Linked DNA regions of Struthio camelus. The protein of the gene in region 2 binds, or shares a complex with, the protein of the main gene of each other region. Links are inferred from orthologs where the notes say so. Each region holds a gene or a part of one and is shown on either strand. Other genes may lie near its edges. The genes, in order: CALR and CELF1.

What was found.
Region 1: CELF1 (region 2) and CALR share a complex: the UniProt entries of both Homo sapiens proteins name them as parts of the EIF2 complex. The link is inferred for Struthio camelus from reciprocal best matches to the Homo sapiens genes CELF1 and CALR.

The regions. Positions count from the first base shown.
Region 1 is NC_090972.1:4,289,752-4,298,364, reverse strand, and holds the start of CALR (calreticulin), read right to left. Parts: upstream 3,467-8,613; 5' UTR 3,367-3,466; coding exon 3,270-3,366; intron 586-3,269; coding exon 484-585; intron 188-483; coding exon 1-187. Other genes in the region: FARSA (phenylalanine--tRNA ligase alpha subunit), read left to right, coding at 4,238-4,399, 4,483-4,620, 4,703-4,801, 7,215-7,333, 7,415-7,507, 7,613-7,741, 7,833-7,948, 8,042-8,126 and 2 more. UniProt on the Homo sapiens protein: Calcium-binding chaperone that promotes folding, oligomeric assembly and quality control in the endoplasmic reticulum (ER) via the calreticulin/calnexin cycle.
Region 2 is NC_090946.1:39,023,830-39,031,960, reverse strand, and holds the start of CELF1 (CUGBP Elav-like family member 1), read right to left. Parts: upstream 3,154-8,131; 5' UTR 3,066-3,153; intron 2,336-3,065; 5' UTR 2,014-2,335; intron 308-2,013; 5' UTR 224-307; coding exon 185-223; intron 39-184; coding exon 1-38. Other genes in the region: PTPMT1 (phosphatidylglycerophosphatase and protein-tyrosine phosphatase 1), read left to right, coding at 3,458-3,628, 3,719-3,799, 4,429-4,620, 5,879-6,019; KBTBD4 (kelch repeat and BTB domain-containing protein 4), read right to left, coding at 7,112-7,972. UniProt on the Homo sapiens protein: RNA-binding protein implicated in the regulation of several post-transcriptional events. Involved in pre-mRNA alternative splicing, mRNA translation and stability.

The DNA.
Region 1 (8,613 bases), on a different chromosome or scaffold from region 2:
TCCGAGTCGCCGTGCATGTCCTCCTGGTTCAGGCCGGCCGGGAAGAGCTTCACGTAGCCGCCGCCGCAGTCGATGTTCTGCTCGTGCTTCACCGTGAACTGCACCACCAGCGTCTTGTCCTTGTTGCTGAAGGGCTCGAAGCGGGAGGAGATGGCGTAGAAACGGGCGTCCTGGCTCGTCTGGATGCCTGCGGGCCAGGCGGGAGAGCGGTCCGGGCGGCGGCGGGGGCCGTTAGGGCTGCTCAACCCTCCCTCGCCCCCCCCGAAACTCCCCCGATGCCCTCGCCGGCTCCCCTCCTGAAGCCGCCCCGCTCCATCCAGCCCGCGGCACAACACAACCCCCCTACGCGGGGCCCGGAGCGCCGTCAGCACCCCCGCGCTCCCACGGACCCACCAAGCTCGTTAAGCATTAACTACCCTTGAGCGACAGGCGGAGGGAAAGGTCCTTATCTCCGGGGAGGCCGGCCAGCAGCCGGCACCTCACCTTTATCCTTCTCGGCGTCGCCGTAGAACTTGCCGGCCGTGAGGATGAACTTGCCGTAGTCCGACTTGTGCTTGGATTCCACCCACCGGCTGCTCCAGGCATCTGCGGAGAGGGCAGAGGGTCAGGGAGGCGCCGGCCCGCGCTCGGCGCGGCCCCGCGTGACCCCGGGTTTCCCCCTAAAGGCGGGAACAGCCCGTAAGAGCCGAAACCCGACCGAGCGCTGGCCGCTGCCGGGGGGGGTCTCCCTCGGCACCGAGGGCTCCCCCCCACCCAGGGAAGGGTCGCTGTGGAGGCAGCCGCCTCCGCGGTGGAGCCGGGCAGCCGAAACGCGGCGGCTTCAGGGCTAGGCAGCGTTCGCGGAGGGAAGAGGGAAGCAGGACGGCTCCAACCCCGCTCGGGGAGACCGGGGCGGGGGGAACGGGCCTCGGCGCCGGGCTCGTCCCCGCGTCCCCTCCGGCCCGGCGCTCTGCCCGCAGCGGCCGGGGATTGAACGCGCCCCTAGAGCTGAACGGGGAACAGGCCGGCTTCCTGCCACCTGCACGGCCCGGCCGGGATCCGTCACACTCCGGAGGAGCCCTTCGATACAGGCCGCCCACCTGCGCCCGTGAGGCACGGCAGCACCCGTGACGGCCCCCTGCGTCCCCCTCCCCGGCGCCCTGGCGGGAGGCCGGAGCTGCCGGGGAAGGTCTCCGCGGTGGGGTGGGCTCGGCTGTCGCAGCGCCGCCGCCGCCGCAGCAGGACTCGGGGCCGATAAACCACAACGGGAGCCAGCTCCTGTCCTGCCTCCCCCCCACCCTGTGGGGGAACATCCCACCGAAAGCCCTGCTGTCCCCCCCCTCCGGCTCCGGGGTGGGGGGAGAAGGGGACAGCTCTGCCCTCAACAGCCCCATCCAAAGGCCTTTTGTTCCCCCCAGCTCTAGGGGAGGCCTCACAGCCCCCGCAGCCCCCCCAAAGCCTTACCCCTTCCCAGAGGCCTCTCAGGCTCCGGTGTCTTCCCCAGGACCCCCAGGCCCAGGGAGCCTTATGCCCCCCCCCACCAAGGCCTCCAGCCCTTCCCAGACACCTTGCAGCCCCTCACTCCTTCCCCAGGACCCCCAGGCCCAGGGAGCCTTATGCCCCCCCCACCAAGGCCTCCAGCCCTTCCCAGACACCTTGCAGCCCCTCACTCCTTCCCCAGGACCCCCAGCCCCAGGGAGGCCTTAGGCCCCCCATCAAGGCCTCCAGCCCTTCCCAGACACCTTGCAGCCCCTCACTCCTTCCCCAGGACCCCCAGCCCCAGGGAGGCCTTAGGCCCCCCCCACCAAGGCCTCCATCCCTTCCCAGACACCTTGCAGCCCCTCACTCCTTCCCCAGGACCCCCAGCCCCAGGGAGGCCTTAGGCCCCCCCCATCAAGGCCTCCAGCCCTTCCCAGACACCTTGCAGCCCCTCACTCCTTCCCCAGGACCCCCAGCCCCAGGGAGGCCTTAGGCCCCCCACCAAGGCCTCCAGCCCTTCCCAGACACCTTGCAGCCCCTCACTCCTTCCCCAGGACCCCCAGCCCCAGGGAGGCCTTAGGCCCCCCACCAAGGCCTCCAGCCCTTCCCAGACACCTTGCAGCCCCTCACTCCTTCCCCAGGACCCCCAGCCCCAGGGAGGCCTTAGGCCCCCCACCAAGGCCTCCAGCCCTTCCCAGACACCTTGCAGCCCCTCACTCCTTCCCCAGGACCCCCAGCCCCAGGGAGGCCTTAGGCCCCCCACCAAGGCCTCCAGCCCTTCCCAGACACCTTGCAGCCCCTCACTCCTTCCCCAGGACCCCCAGCCCCAGGGAGGCCTTAGGCCCCCCACCAAGGCCTCCAGCCCTTCCCAGACACCTTGCAGCCCCTCACTCCTTCCCCAGGACCCCCAGCCCCAGGGAGGCCTTAGGCCCCCCACCAAGGCCTCCAGCCCTTCCCAGACACCTTGCAGCCCCTCACTCCTTCCCCAGGACCCCCAGCCCCAGGGAGGCCTTAGGCCCCCCCCCCCCACCAAGGCCTCCAGCCCTTCCCAGACACCTTGCAGCCCCTCACTCCTTCCCCAGGACCCCCAGCCCCAGGGAGGCCTTAGGCCCCCCCCCCCCCACCAAGGCCTCCAGCCCTTCCCAGACACCTTGCAGCCCCTCACTCCTTCCCCAGGACCCCCAGCCCCAGGGAGGCCTTAGGCCCCCCACAAGGCCTCCATCCCTTCCCAGACACCTTGCAGCCCCTCACTCCTTCCCCAGGACCCCCAGCCCTAGCTCAGGGCAGACACAGATGTCCTTCCCACGACCCTCATGCCCAGACCAGGCCTCTCAGCTCCCTATATCCATCCTGTGACCCTCATCCCTCCCACCCCAAGCCCTCAAAAGACCTCTCAGGTCCCCCCTTCCCCAGCACCCCCAACCCTACCTCAAGGTAGACTCAGCCCCCAAAAGACCCCTACAGCCTTCCTCAGACCCTCACCCCTCCCAGCCCCAGCTGAGGACAGACCCCTCAGGCCCTGCACCTACCCCAAGACCCCCAGACCAGGCCTACAGCCCCCCGCATCCCTCCTGTACCCCTAGGCCAGGGGAAGACCTCGCAGGCCCCACAGCTGCCCCAGGACCCCCAACCCAACCCGGCAGCCCCCCCCATGAGCCCCTAGGCCCTCATGACACCCCAAGACATCCCCTCTCCCCCCGACCCCCATCGCAGCCCCCCCCCAGCCCAGAGAAGACGCCTGGGGCCCTTCAGACGCAGCCCCACATCCTGCCTAGGGCCCCCCACCCCCAGCGGTGGGGCTCCCCCCTCACCTCCATCCCCGAACTCCTCCCGGAAGTACTGGGTGGGCCCCGCCGCCACCAGCCCCAGGAGGGCGCCGAGCAGAAGGGGGAGACCCAGGGGGCTCATGTCGCCGGGGGTCCCACACAGTGCGGCGGAGGCGCCTGGCCCTTTAAGACATTCGGCCCTGCCCGGCCCGGCGGCACCCAGACACTGCGGAGGGGGGCGGCGGCGACGCCCGCATTTATATGGCCGCGGCAGCTGGGCCCGCCCCTGCCCGCTCCCCATTGGCCCGAGCTCGTGAGGGGCTCGCTCCCATTGGCCCCTCGCCCGCTCGCCGGCTTCGGCGGCTCCCCCGAACGTTGGCGTCCCAGATGGCCGCTTCCCATTGGCTGAGCGCGGGGGCCAATGAGGAGCGACCACGCGTTCGGGGGGAGACGCCCCCCCCTCCCCCCGCGCTCCTGCCCTCCCTCCGCGCGCTGCGTCGCTCGCTCTCGGGGTCACGTGGGGCCCGGACGCTCTTAAAGGGCCAGGCTGCTGCGGAGCACGTGGGAGCAGGCGCTCGCCATCCCATAATAGCAGCAGGAAGGGGGAGAGGGGGATCAAGGTCGGGGGGGGAACCCAGGCATGTTGCTATGGCAACGGTCATAGGGTGGGGAATAAGCCTGCCGTTACAGCAACTGACTTCAGTGCAGCAAACTGTGGGTGAGGCTGGTTGCTGGGGAGGGGGGCTGGGCCTAGTGCCTGATGACGTCACGCTGACGTCCGAACACGTCACTCGGCCGCGGCACTCGGCTGCCTTCCTATCGCCAGCAGCCCCTTCCCCCTCCCCGCATCGGCCGCTTCGGGGCTTCTTGCCACACTCAAGATGGCGCCCGCGCCACTCTCAAGATGGCGGCGCTGAGCAGGTCAGCGGGCACGCCCACACCGGGCACGCCCCCTTTCCCCCTCAGGAGCACTTCCGGGTCGCGCGGAGGGAGTCCTTCCGGCGGGCGCCGCCATGTCGCCCGGTGTGGCCGAGCTGCTGCTGCGGCGGCTGGAGCGGGAGGCGCCGGGGCCCGGGCCGGGCGGGGGTCTCTGCAGCCTGGAGGCGGCCGCCGAGCTCGGCCTCGACCACCAGACGCTGGTGGGCGCCGTCAAGAGTCTCCAGGCGCTGGGCGAGGTGCGGCGGCGGTAAGGGCGGCCGGTAGCGGCGGCGGTGGCGGTGCCGCCGCCGCCGCTCAGGGCCGCCCGGTGCCGCCGCAGGTGATCGAGGCGGAGCCGCGGGCCGCCACCCGCTGGGAGCTGAGCGCCGAGGGCGAGGCGGTGGCGCGGGACGGCAGCCACGAGGTGCGCGTCTTCGAGAGCCTGCCCGGCGAGGGGCTGCCGCACAGCGAGCTCATGGTGAGCACCGGCACCGGGGGGGGGGGCCCGCGGGGGGGGGCCCGGCGGACCCCGGGCTGCAGCCGGCCGCTGCCGCCCGCAGAAGCTGCCCGGCGCCAAGGTGGGCTTCAGCAAGGCCATGGCCAACAAGTGGGTGCGGCTGGACAAGGAGGCGCCCGGCGGCCCCCGCGTCTTCCGCGCCGTGAGTTTGGGGAAGGGGGGGGAGAGGGGAGTGGTGGGGGGGGGTCTCCCTGTCCCCGGGGGTCCCCCGTCCCCAAGGCTGAGCCCGTCCCCGGGGGTCCCCTGTCCCCGGGGGTCCCCCGTCCCCGAGGCTGAGCCCGTCCCCGGGGGTCTCCCTGTCCCCGAGGGCCCCTGTCCCCAAGGCTGAGCCCGTCCCCGGGGGTCTCCCTGTCCCCGAGGGCCCCTGTCCCCAAGGCTGAGCCCGTCCCCGGGGGTCTCCCTGTCCCCGAGGGCCCCCGTCCCCTGTCCCCAAGGCTGAGCCCGTCCCCGGGGGTCTCCCTGTCCCCGAGGGCCCCCGTCCCCCGTCCCCAAGGCTGAGCCTGTCCCCGGGGGTCCCCTGTCCTCGAGGGCCCCCGTCCCTAAGGCTGAGCCTGTCCCCGGGGGTCCCCTGTCCCTGAGGGCCCCCATCCCCCGTCCCCAAGGCTGAGCCCGTCCCCGGGGGTCTGCTGACCCCAGGGATCCCCTGTCACCGTCTCTGAGGGTCCTCCATCCCTGGACTGAGCCCTTCCCCAGGGTCCCCTGTCCCCGAGGGTGCTGTGTCCCCACGCTCAGGCTGAGCCTGTCCCTGAGGGTCCTTCATCCCCAGGCTGAGCCTGCCCCCGAGGGTCCCCTGTCCCCGAGGGTCTCCTGTCACTGTCCCCGAGGGTCCTCTGTCCCTGGAGCGAGCTGTTCTGCAGGTCCCCTGTCCCCAAGGGTCCCCTGTCACTGTCCCCGAGGGTCCTCTGTCCCTGGAGCTAGCTGTTCTGTGGGTCCCCTGTCCCCGAGGGTCCCCTGTCACTGTCCCCGAGGGTCCTCTGTCCCTGGAGCAAGCTGTTCTGCGGGTCCCCTGTCCCCGAGGGTCCCCTGTCACTGTCCCCGAGGGTCCTGTGTCCCTGGAGCTAGCTGTTCTGCGGGTCCCCTGTCCCCGAGGGTCCCCTGTCACTGTCCCCGAGGGTCCTGTGTCCCTGGAGCTAGCTGTTCTGCGGGTCCCCTGTCCCTGAGGGTCCCCTGTCCCTGGAGCGAGCTGTTCTGCAGCTCCCCTGTCCCCAGGGGTCCCCCGTCACTGTCCCAGGGCTGTGCCTGTCCCTGAGGGTCGCTGTCCCCATCCTGTTGCTGTCCCTAGGCTGAGCCTGTCCCCAAGGGTCCCCGGTCCCGGAGCTGTCCCCGTCCCTGAGCGCCCCCCCATCCCCAGGGGTCCCCTGTCACCATCCCAGGGCTGTCCCTGAGGGTCCCCCGTCCCTGGCTGTTCCTGGTCCCGAGGGTCCCCTGGCTGAGCCCATCCCAAGGGTCCCCTCTCCTCGTCCCCGAGGGTCCCCCACTGCCGTCCCGGGGCTGTCCCCGTCCCCGCGGGTCCCCCGTCCCGGGGCTGTCCCCGTCCCCGAGGGTCCCCGTCCCCGAGGGTCCCCCATCCCGGGGCTGTCCCCGTCCCCGAGGGTCCCTGTCCCCACGTGTCCCCCATCCCGGGGCTGTCCCCGTCCCCGCATGTTCCCCATCCCGGGGCTGTCCCCGTCCCCGAGGGTCCCCGTCCCCACGTGTCCCCCATCCCGGGGCTGTCCCCGTCCCCACGTGTCCCCCATCCCGGGGCTGTCCCCGTCCCCGAGGGTCCCCGTCCCCACGTGTCCCCCATCCCGGGGCTGTCCCCGTCCCCGAGGGTCCCCGTCCCCACGTGTCCCCCATCCCGGGGCTGTCCCCGTCCCCGAGGGTCCCCGTCCCCACGTGTCCCCCATCCCGGGGCTGTCCCCGTCCCCGAGGGTCCCCGTCCCCACGTGTCCCCCATCCCGGGGCTGTCCCCGTCCCCGAGGGTCCCCGTCCCCACGTGTCCCCCATCCCGGGGCTGTCCCCGTCCCCACGTGTCCCCCATCCCAGGGCTGTCCCCGTCCCCGAGGGTCCCCGTCCCCGCGTGTCCCCCATCCCGGGGCTGTCCCCGTCCCCGAGGGTCCCCCATCCCGGGGCTGTCCCCGTCCCCGAGGGTCCCTGTCCCCACGTGTCCCCCATCCCGGGGCTGTCCCCGTCCCCGCATGTTCCCCATCCCGGGGCTGTCCCCGTCCCCGAGGGTCCCCGTCCCCACGTGTCCCCCATCCCGGGGCTGTCCCCGTCCCCACGTGTCCCCCATCCCAGGGCTGTCCCCGTCCCCGAGGGTCCCCGTCCCCACGTGTCCCCCATCCCAGGGCTGTCCCCGTCCCCGCGTGTCCCCCATCCCAGGGCTGTCCCCGTCCCCGAGGGTCCCTGTCCTCCTTGCAGCATCTCCCTGGTCCTCAAAATCCCTCAGCCCGTCTTGCAGTCTGTCACCCCCCCCCGTCCTCGCACCAAGAGGCTCTGCCCCGGGCTCCCCCCCCACCCCATGACGGCGCCCCGTCCCGCGTGTCCCCCCCCCCGGCGGGGTCCCGTCCCCGCAGGTGGCGGCGGTGCAGGACGCCGTGCGGGACAGCCTGCGGCGGGTGCAGCGGGGGGAGGCCGCCAGCCTGCCCGAGCGCGACCGCGCCGAGCTCAAGAAGAGGAAGCTGCTGCTGGAAGTGTGAGCGGGGGGGGGCCGGGGTGGGGGGGGGACACACACATAGACCCCCGCTGACCCCCCCACCCCGCCCGCCACCCCCAGCACCCTCAAGTCCTACTGGCTGCGCAAGGGCAGCGCCTTCAGCACGGCCGTGGCCCGCCAGGAGACGGAGCTGACGCCGGAGATGATCGCCACGTGAGTGCCGCAGGGGGGGGGCTCCGCGGACCCCCTCACCCTGGGGGGCACCCGTGGGCCCCCCCGCCTCGAGCCCTGCTGCTGCACCCCCCCCCCCCCCCGCAGGGGCTCCTGGCGGCAGCGGCCCTTCAAGGCCTACAACTTCGCGGCGCTGGGGCTGCCGCCCGCCTGCGGCCACCTCCACCCCCTGCTCAAGGTGCGCTCCCAGTTCCGCCAGATCTTCCTGGAGATGGGGTGAGTGGCGGGGCGGGGGCGGGCAGGACGCCTGGGCCCCCGCGCGGGGGTGGGGAGGGGGCTGACGCGGCGGCCGCACCCCCCCCCCCAGGTTCGTGGAGATGCCCACCAACAACTTTGTGGAGAGCTCCTTCTGGAACTTCGACGCCCTCTTCCAGCCCCAGCAGCACCCGGCTCGCGACCAGCACGACACCTTCTTCCTGCAGGGTGGGTGCCCACGGCGGTGGGGGGGGGGGGTCTAAACGCCCCCCTCCCCACGCTAACGACCCCCCCCCCCCCGCGATGCGTGTGTGTCCCCAGACCCCGCCGAAGCCCCCGAGCTCCCCGCCGGCTACGTGGCTAAAGTGAAGAAAGTGCACTCGCAAGGAGGCTACGGCTCGCAGGGGTGAGGGGCGGCACCCGTGGGTGCGGGGGGGGGGACACCACGGGCCCCCCCCTCCCCAGCTCAGCCGAGCCCCCCCCCCCGGCAGCTACAAGTACGACTGGAAGGTGGAGGAGGCGCGGAAGAACCTGCTGCGGACGCACACCACGGCCGTCAGCGCCCGCATGCTCTACCGCCTGGCCCGCCAGGTGGGCGCCCGTTTTGGGGAGCGGGGCGGGGGGGTGGGGGGGGGCCCTCTCATCTCGTTCTGCCGTGTTTACTTGTGGGGGTGCCCCCGCCCCCCCGCCGCAGGAGAAGTTCACGCCGGTGAAGTACTTCTCCATCGACCGGGTTTTCCGCAACGAGAGCCTGGACGCCACCCACCTGGCCGAGTTCCACCAGATCGAGGGCGTCGTGGCCGACCACGGCCTCACCCTGGGCCACCTCATGGGCGTCCTCAAGCAGTTCTTCCTCAAGCTGGGTGAGGGGGGGGGGGGCGCCCTGGGGCGGG
Region 2 (8,131 bases):
CAAACATAGTTCTGCACATAGGCTTGGTGAATGGCAAACTAAAAGACAAGAAGCAATATTGAAAATGTTTAGATTGATATAAAACATTATGATATATATGGCAAGACTGATAAAATAAGGACCCAGAAGTATAAATCTTCTGAGTTTGTTGGATTACAGCTGCTGTTTCACTAGCAAATCTCACATTACCACTTGGAAACCCGGACTGTTTCACGGACATCATCACTGTACAGCAGTCTCTAGTTCAAGAGCCAGAAGAATGGGTTCTTCTTAGATTATCAGATTTAGAAATTAACAACTGGGAAACCTCAAAAAGAAAGAGAATTTATGTTACTTCCTATGCAGTTTGGCAAGCAACCTAAAAAACACTAAAATAATTTTTATTTAGAGTAGGCCCTCTGAAAAGATTTGCGATAGAAGAGCCAAAAGACAGACAGATGAAATTAAGAATAAATGTAGTAACTGATGATCAATGCCCACATTTCAGAAAAAGGTGCAAGAAATGGTAAGGAATAACCTGCTCATAACAAATTTTTTTTTTTTTTTTTTTTTTTTTTTACTAATTTCAGTTAAAGACTAGATTACAGGTCATATTTTATTTACTGAATGCAATTGTAAAATATTTTCAAGAACCACATAAACATCTAATTTTTATGACCTTCTACTGATGAGCATAGTATTGTTTCCTGTAATTTCAAAAGAAAAATTACACAGCATTAAAAAAATATTTCTCTTAAATTTTATGCTATGCAGCGATAAATTGAATAATCATGAGGTGAGACAGAAATTACGTAAAGGCTTCTTGCAAGGGACCTTGCAAATTACAGATTTATTATAAGGTATACAATTACTCCATATCTACGATACAGTCACTTTTCTTGCTTTTCCCTTTAGAGGAGTAGCGCTAGGCAACACGTACCTTCAGAATTCCTACTCTCAGCAAAAAGAAACAATACTTAAAGACCCCTTCCCCCACCATGTAATGATAATCTGACCACTGCATCTAGTTTTAAAGAAGTAGCAAGAAAATGTGGATACAGTAATAAGTACAAGGTACTACCGTGGCATTCTTTACCATATCCCCATTTTGAAAGACAGTTAGGTCCTTTGGTTATTGTAGGCCATACACTTTCAAAAGAACATACTTAACATACAAATCTTGGTGTTCTTAGCGTTCATGACTTTGTAATAACTACTTTTCAACTAAGACAATATTAAAACTTCTTTCTACAGACATTATGTTCCTCCTTTCTTAGGTATGTAAAGTTCCCAAGATAAACAAGTTCCCAGTCCTGCATTTACTAGATTATTTTACTTACAAAGCATACCCAGATGCATAAGCTCAAGCACAAAACTGAGAAGGCAGGATCTGGGACTGCATTTTCTCCAATATAACAGTAGAAAATTGGACAGGAAGGGAAAAATATGCCCATCGCAGGGTTATCATTCAGAAAAGGTAAATCTATTCCACAAAACAGCATATAACTTCCCAGAATAAATATCAGCAAGAATTTCGAAGGTTAGCACAGGCTGAAGGGGAATGGCAAGCTTCTTTAAAAAAACAAACAAACAAAACCACTGACATCATCATATTTTAAAATCCCCACTTTGGGAATAGTTGTACTGGTGCATATACGTGCACCTATGTCCCCGGGCAGATATAAGAATCATGCTGCTACCCAGAGCACTCTTCACCAGGAGAGATGCAACTGGAAACATTAAGTTGCAGGATACAAGCTGTACCCACCTGGATGATTCCTATCACAATGGTAAACAGATAAGTAATATTTTTAAACAATATCTGACATTATACTCAACTCCTCAGAACAGAGCTGGCAGGGGGAGGGGAAGGGTGAGTTTATTATGGATACACAATGCCAGGCCAGTGCAATAAAAGCTATCTGATAAACTCATCTATAGAAAAGCAATAGGAAAGGCAACTAAAGACTCCATGAGAGAATCTGGCAGTTATTGTAATCACTAATTCTAAGAGTCAAGCCTGGAGACACATACAAACCATGAACTTTGCAAGACACTCAGAAAGTCCTAGCTCTTGTAGACCAGAAGCAAAGCACATTTCAAGATTCAAATTCCAGCCAAGTATTTTTCTGCATCAGGTGAGCTCCTGGTGAAACACACCCACTGACCACACTGAAGCAGTACAACACAAGAAAGCTGCAACATTTGAAAAATGCTCCCTGACAACTTCTGGCAGAGGAGAATGTCTGTCTGTGCCTTAAAGGTGAAAACGTCTGGGCTGCGATTCCTCAGGAATTTAAAGGAGGGAAGGTTCCACAGTTAATACTGCCTCTGAACTTCCTATTCAGCAATCTTCCTATAAAAAAAAAAACTCATGCTGTTATCAATTCGTATTTCTTCTTTATGCACTTATCGTTAAATTTATGTTTAGTCTCCCTTCTTTCTTTACATTGTGCTATTTTACTTTCTACTTCACCCCAGTAGCGTTTGCCGCTCCTCCTCACGCCTGAGACTGCAAATTCCTACGCTGTGGTGAAGTCGAGCTCTCTGCCTTTTGCTTCTCCTACCCAGACCTGCCTCCACCCCTTCGCAAACCCCAAGTGCCGCAGAGGTGCGTTTCCTGGTGTCCCCTGCCCAAAAGACAGGCCCGCGGGGTGCCACCCGGCGCCATCCAGCCGCATCCCCGCGATCACCCCGGCCTCTGCCGCTCCGCGCTGCTCCGGCCGCCGCCGCCCCCGGGGGCTGCCCGTCTCCCGCGGCCCGGTCCGGCGCTCCCCTGCCCTCCCCGCACCCGCCGCGGGCCGCGCTCGCACCTGCAGCGCCCCCCGCCGCCGCCCTGCGGCCCGAGGCCGGGCGGCGCCCGAGGCGCTGTCAGCGCCCGGATGCCAGACGGCAACCGGCCGCCTCCGGTTCCGGGCCCCGGGCTGGGCGGCCGCCTCCCCCCGGGCGGCGGCGGCGCGGGGCTCCCGCGGGCCCGAGCCCCCCACGGCACGGCACAGCGCAGCGCGGCGAAGCGAGGCGCGGCGCGGCGGCCGCCTGCAGGGTCCCGGCGCGGGGCGGCCTGGCGGCCGGAGGAGACCCGTTACCTGCGCTAGGCGGGTCGCGCTCCCCGCGGGCTCCGCTCGGCTCCGCGCCGCGCCGCGCCGCGCCGTCCCTGCCCTGCCCTGCCCTGCCCGGCCCGGCCGAGCTCCTCCTGGCGGCCGCCGCCCTCACCTGCCCCGCGGATCCACCCGCGCCCCGCTCAGCTCCCTGCGCCGCCTCAGGCCGGCTTCGCAAGATGGCGGCGCTTCCGGGAGAGACCACGGCGGGCCCGAGGGCAGGGGCCGGGCCGCCGCCGCCGCCGCCGCCGCGCTCCTCCCCCGCCGCCGGGGCGGGGCCGCCCCGCGCTACGGCCGCGCTCGCGCGCGCGCTTCCCCCGGCGCCTCGCGCGCGGTGCGCTCGTCCGCGGCGCTCCCCCGCCCCTGCGGCGCGGCCCGCGATGGGGCTGGCGGTGGCGCTGGGCGCCGGCGCGGCGCGGCTGCTCTTCTACCCGACGCTGCTGTACACGGCGGTGCGGGCGCGGCTGCCCGGGTCCGGCCGGCCCTGGTTCCACCGCATCGACGGCGTCGTGCTGCTGGGGGCGCTGCCGCTGCGGGGGCGCAGCCGCAGGGTAAGGCGGGGCCGCGGCGGGCCGGGCCGGGCCGGGCCGGGCCGGGCCGGGCCGAGCCGAGCCGGCGCCTGACGGTGCTTGTGCCCGCAGCTGGTGGCGGAGGAGAACGTGCGCGCCGTGCTCACCCTCAACGAGGAGTACGAGACCCGCCTGCTCTGCTGCTCCGCGCAGGTGAGCGCCGCGGCGGCCGTTGGGCGGCTGCCCGCGGGCCGGGCCGGGCCGGGCCGGGCCGGGCGTGCGGCGGTGCCCAGCGCCCTCCGCCGCTCCCCCTCCTGCTCGCCCTGGGGTAGGTGAGGATTCAGCGCTGCTGCCTGCCCTCACGCTGCTCCCCGTTGGGATCCCTGGCGGCAACTGTTACGGCCTCTTAACAGCAGAGAGACTTGGCTTCTTCAGACGTAAGCCAAGTTCTTAAACTGTGTGACCGGACGATGAAACGTGAGGATGCAAGAACAAGACTAGAGCTACAGCGGTGGGGAGAAGGGGAGCGTTAATTGTACACGTGCTGTTGTGCAAATGCCAGAATGCCTTTTTTTTCCAGGCTGAGAACCCACCTCGCCTCCTTTCCTTTAGCTGAACCACATCTCCTCAGTTTTCCTTCAGTTCCCTTTAACTTCTTCTTGCTGATAACCAGCACTAAAGCTTTCTGTATTTTTTCTGTATTTCTGATTTAAAGGATTAACATTGCAAAGGCTGCTTACAACATTGCTATATTTCCCAAATGTCTTCACAGGGATCGTGTTTTTCTTTCTGGGGGGAAAAAAAAAACCCTTGGCTAATTGAATCTACCATGCTTATTTCAGGAATGGGAGGCAATGGGAGTAGAGCAACTGCGTCTCAGCACTGTGGATCTAACTGGAGTTCCCACCTTGCAAAACCTCCACAAGGGTGTCGAATTCATACTGAAACACCGAGAACGTGGTAACAGTGTTTATGTGCACTGCAAGGCAGGACGCTCCCGCAGTGCCACCATGGTGGCAGCATATTTAATTCAAGTAAGAAGGGTTCTGTACTAAATCGGGTTTATGTTATACCCTCTGGGCAAGTAAAGTGCTCAGAGATGGCCCAGCCTCTACAATTTGATTCTGCTCAAGAAACCCGAGTGTGTACAATTGCATAAATAGGCCATGGTTTTACCAAGTTTGGACTGGAGACCCATTTGAAGAGAGGTAGGTAGCTAGGCCCTACATCTGTTGCTGTCTGTTTTGCAGATGACTAATACAAGCTAAAGGAACAAACGAAACTTGTATTGGCTGAACAGCAGTCTAAACTTCCTTTGACAATGTAGCTTATCTTTGCACACTTTGTTCGTTTGCCTTTATGTTACTGACCAGTTAATGCCTTCTGGCAGTGAGGTAGTGGTGAAGTTGCAATGGAGCCTCCACTGTAAGTAGTCTTTTCATTCATCTGTACAGTCTGCCTCTGACAGCTCAGTTATTAGCACAGACACTGGCAAAGATGTTTCATGTTATGGGACAGAAATTGCCGTTGAGAAGAAGCTTTGAAACGTGCACTCTCACAGTATCTGTTGCTGGTTCTGGCAGATGACTCAGACTTCAAGAAGCTGTTCAATTTACTGAGCCACTAATACAGCATGTTCTGATGCGGTTTTGAATGATTCTGCTGTTCATAATTCTTTTTAGGGAGGAACAGATTGAGTTGGGAATAACAAGTCACTCACATGAGGGTAGATTCACTGAGCAGCTAAACTTCCTTTTTTTTTTCCTATTTACCTGAAGTGGTGAGCACCTCAAAATATAATTCAGGATCATGAGAAGTAACTTTGGTTTTCCCGAGTTCCTCTACATATCCAACTGTGCAAGCTAGCCCTGAAAACACGATCCCACCTGTGGGATCCTTCTGTTGGAGTTCTTAAATACACCCTGGGAAATCTTCCCTTAGTAATGCCCTAAAGTGCTAGAGCGGGGGTAGTACTAGTACTCTTTACCTCTTTACCCACCTTTTCCTCCAGTCTGGTGGGACTAGGACAGGAAACTACTTACATCATGGAAGCATGAGTGAGATAGAACATGCAAGTCCTAAACAGCAAATGTTTTTCTTTAGCTGAGGGACTCATTTCATGAATTTGCATTGACTTTCAGGCCCCTCTGAGAGAAGATGAATAAAATGGGAGGGACAAAAGGAGCAGGTTTTCTAACTGAACTCTCATGTTGTCTGTATCCTCCGTGAAGGCTCCATTAACCAGTGCAGGGATAGAACGGATTTTCACATGCAGTGTTTCTCCCTTTTCAGCTGCATCACTGGAGCCCTCAGGAAGCAATAGAGGCTATTGCCAAGATCCGTCCCCACATCCTCATTCGGCACAAACAGGTCCAGGTCCTGGAGGCATTTCACAGGAACATAATTGCTGGGACAACGGCAAAGCATCAGTAAGAACCATAAAGATCTCAGAGTCTCAGCTCCTAAAAAAAAAAAACCCCTTGGATCTTAATGAAATAATGAAGGTTTAAGTATTGTATTTCTTGGCCATCAATAAACAAGTTTTTACAATGCGCTACTTTGAAGGGCAGGTTGGGCTGTTTCATTAAAGTGTCTCTCCTTATGGCTAGTCTCTTATTTCTTTTAAAGCCCAATAGTTCTTTCCCACACGCAACATCAGTGCAGAGCCAAACTGCCATCCACATAATGCTCTGTAATTGCAGCAAAGGAAAATAGAACTGTGTCTCAGCAGAGACTTTATTCACTTTCTTACCCAAAGGGTTACAGTGTCAGAGAGGGGTAGAAGGAAGTGGACTTAATTCCATCTTTCACCAACACTATGTTTTGATTACAGGTTCGGATTCCCTGTACAGACAGGAAAGCCAATGCTCTTAAGAATCATCTCCCTCTTTATGCTTGGTGACAATACAGCAGAAAGCAAGTTCCCAGTTTGTTACCACTCCTCTAGGAGAAGTGCTGAAGCATACAACCCACTCAAGGTTTGGGCTCAGCCCTGGCATCTGTCCACTGTAAATGTAATTGCCAGTCCCACCAGCTGCTACAGGGACACAGGAATGTTTAAATGGGGACTTCCCTGGAGGACAGGCACAGCGCATCTACTCTTCATGACTGGCAACGGCAGCAATGCAGTCTCCCAGACAGTTAAAACCAGCCGTCCAGGCCACAAAGGAGGTTGTCCATATGCTATAGGATTTGTTATTGGTTTGATAGTTCCAGGCTAAAAAAGCCACTTGCTGCAGCTTTGGCCTCAAACACAAGCAGCTTATTATCAAGAGATCACAGTAATAGCGTTTAGTCCATCTGAAACCTAAGATGTAGCAGTTCAACTTTAATAGTGCTAAGTAAGAGAATAGGCCCACAGCCAGATGGCTGGTACTTCCTCTGCGCAGACATAGAGGACGGGCTGTTTACTGGATGTTGTGAGCTCGTAGTAATTGGAACTGGTGCTGAGAGTATTTGGTGCCTCTGAGGTGCACTGCAGAACATCTTTGCTGCCCTTTCTACCACTGGGCCTGTTTTTCCCTCTTAGGCCAGGACAAATTGCAGGTTAGTGAGCAGCACTTTGATACCACTTGTGACTGTTACAACAGAGGTGGCTGGGTTAAGTTTAAAAGTATTTGCATCACCCTTTTTATAGCGGTCTCGAAAGACGTAGATGCTGCCATTGCAGCTGGCAATTTTCCAGAGGGATGGTACTGAGCTCCAGGCATCTGGCAGGCAGAGCCGGGTGAAGCTATCCAGTAAGGGATTATAGCATAGCAGGGAATCCCCCTCAGCTACAATAAACACCACATCCTTGTGTACAGCAGCATGCATGCGCCCTGCAAAAGGTAGCACATATGGCTTCACGTGGCATTTCTCTGTGTTGGTATCATAGCACTGAATAAGCCGAGAGGGCTTGGTGAAGAAGTCCAAGTCATTCTCTTCCCCTCCCAGCAGGTAAATGACACCGTTAAGGTTTACACCTGCAGCCCCCGATACGGCCACTTCCAACTGGCTGGTCTCTGTCCATACATTGTCTCGTACTCTGTAATATATGACAGCATTAGAGAGAGTGTCCTGCAGAGTTTTCCCCCCCAGTGAATATATAGCATCCTTGCTTGGCACGGAGACTAGGGTATGTTGGAGCCGGTCACGGGGCAGAGGGGCACACCATTCCCAGTCTATAGTTGCGTTGTTGCATTTCCACATGCGTCGTGGAATGGAGCCACCGACAACGTATAGGTCACTACCATGCTTGCAGGCTGCAGTGATCTGGTGACACAGGCTGTTCTGGCCACTCACGCTTATGGAGTCATCATCGGCACAATGCAGAGAGACAGCAAGCGAATGCGTACGTGATGACTCCTTCCCAATCAGGTAGATGTGAACATTTTCTCCAATCACCTGAGAGAAAGGAGGAGCGTGTCAGTCTCAGCCGAACTCAGGCCTGTTTACACAAACATCAGTGATATCTAAGACTGAATCTTTCAGTGTTTTAGGACCCACCCGTGAGCCTGTGGTGTGTGACCTGCTCCCAACGCCTGCCACCCTAAAGCACTCAGG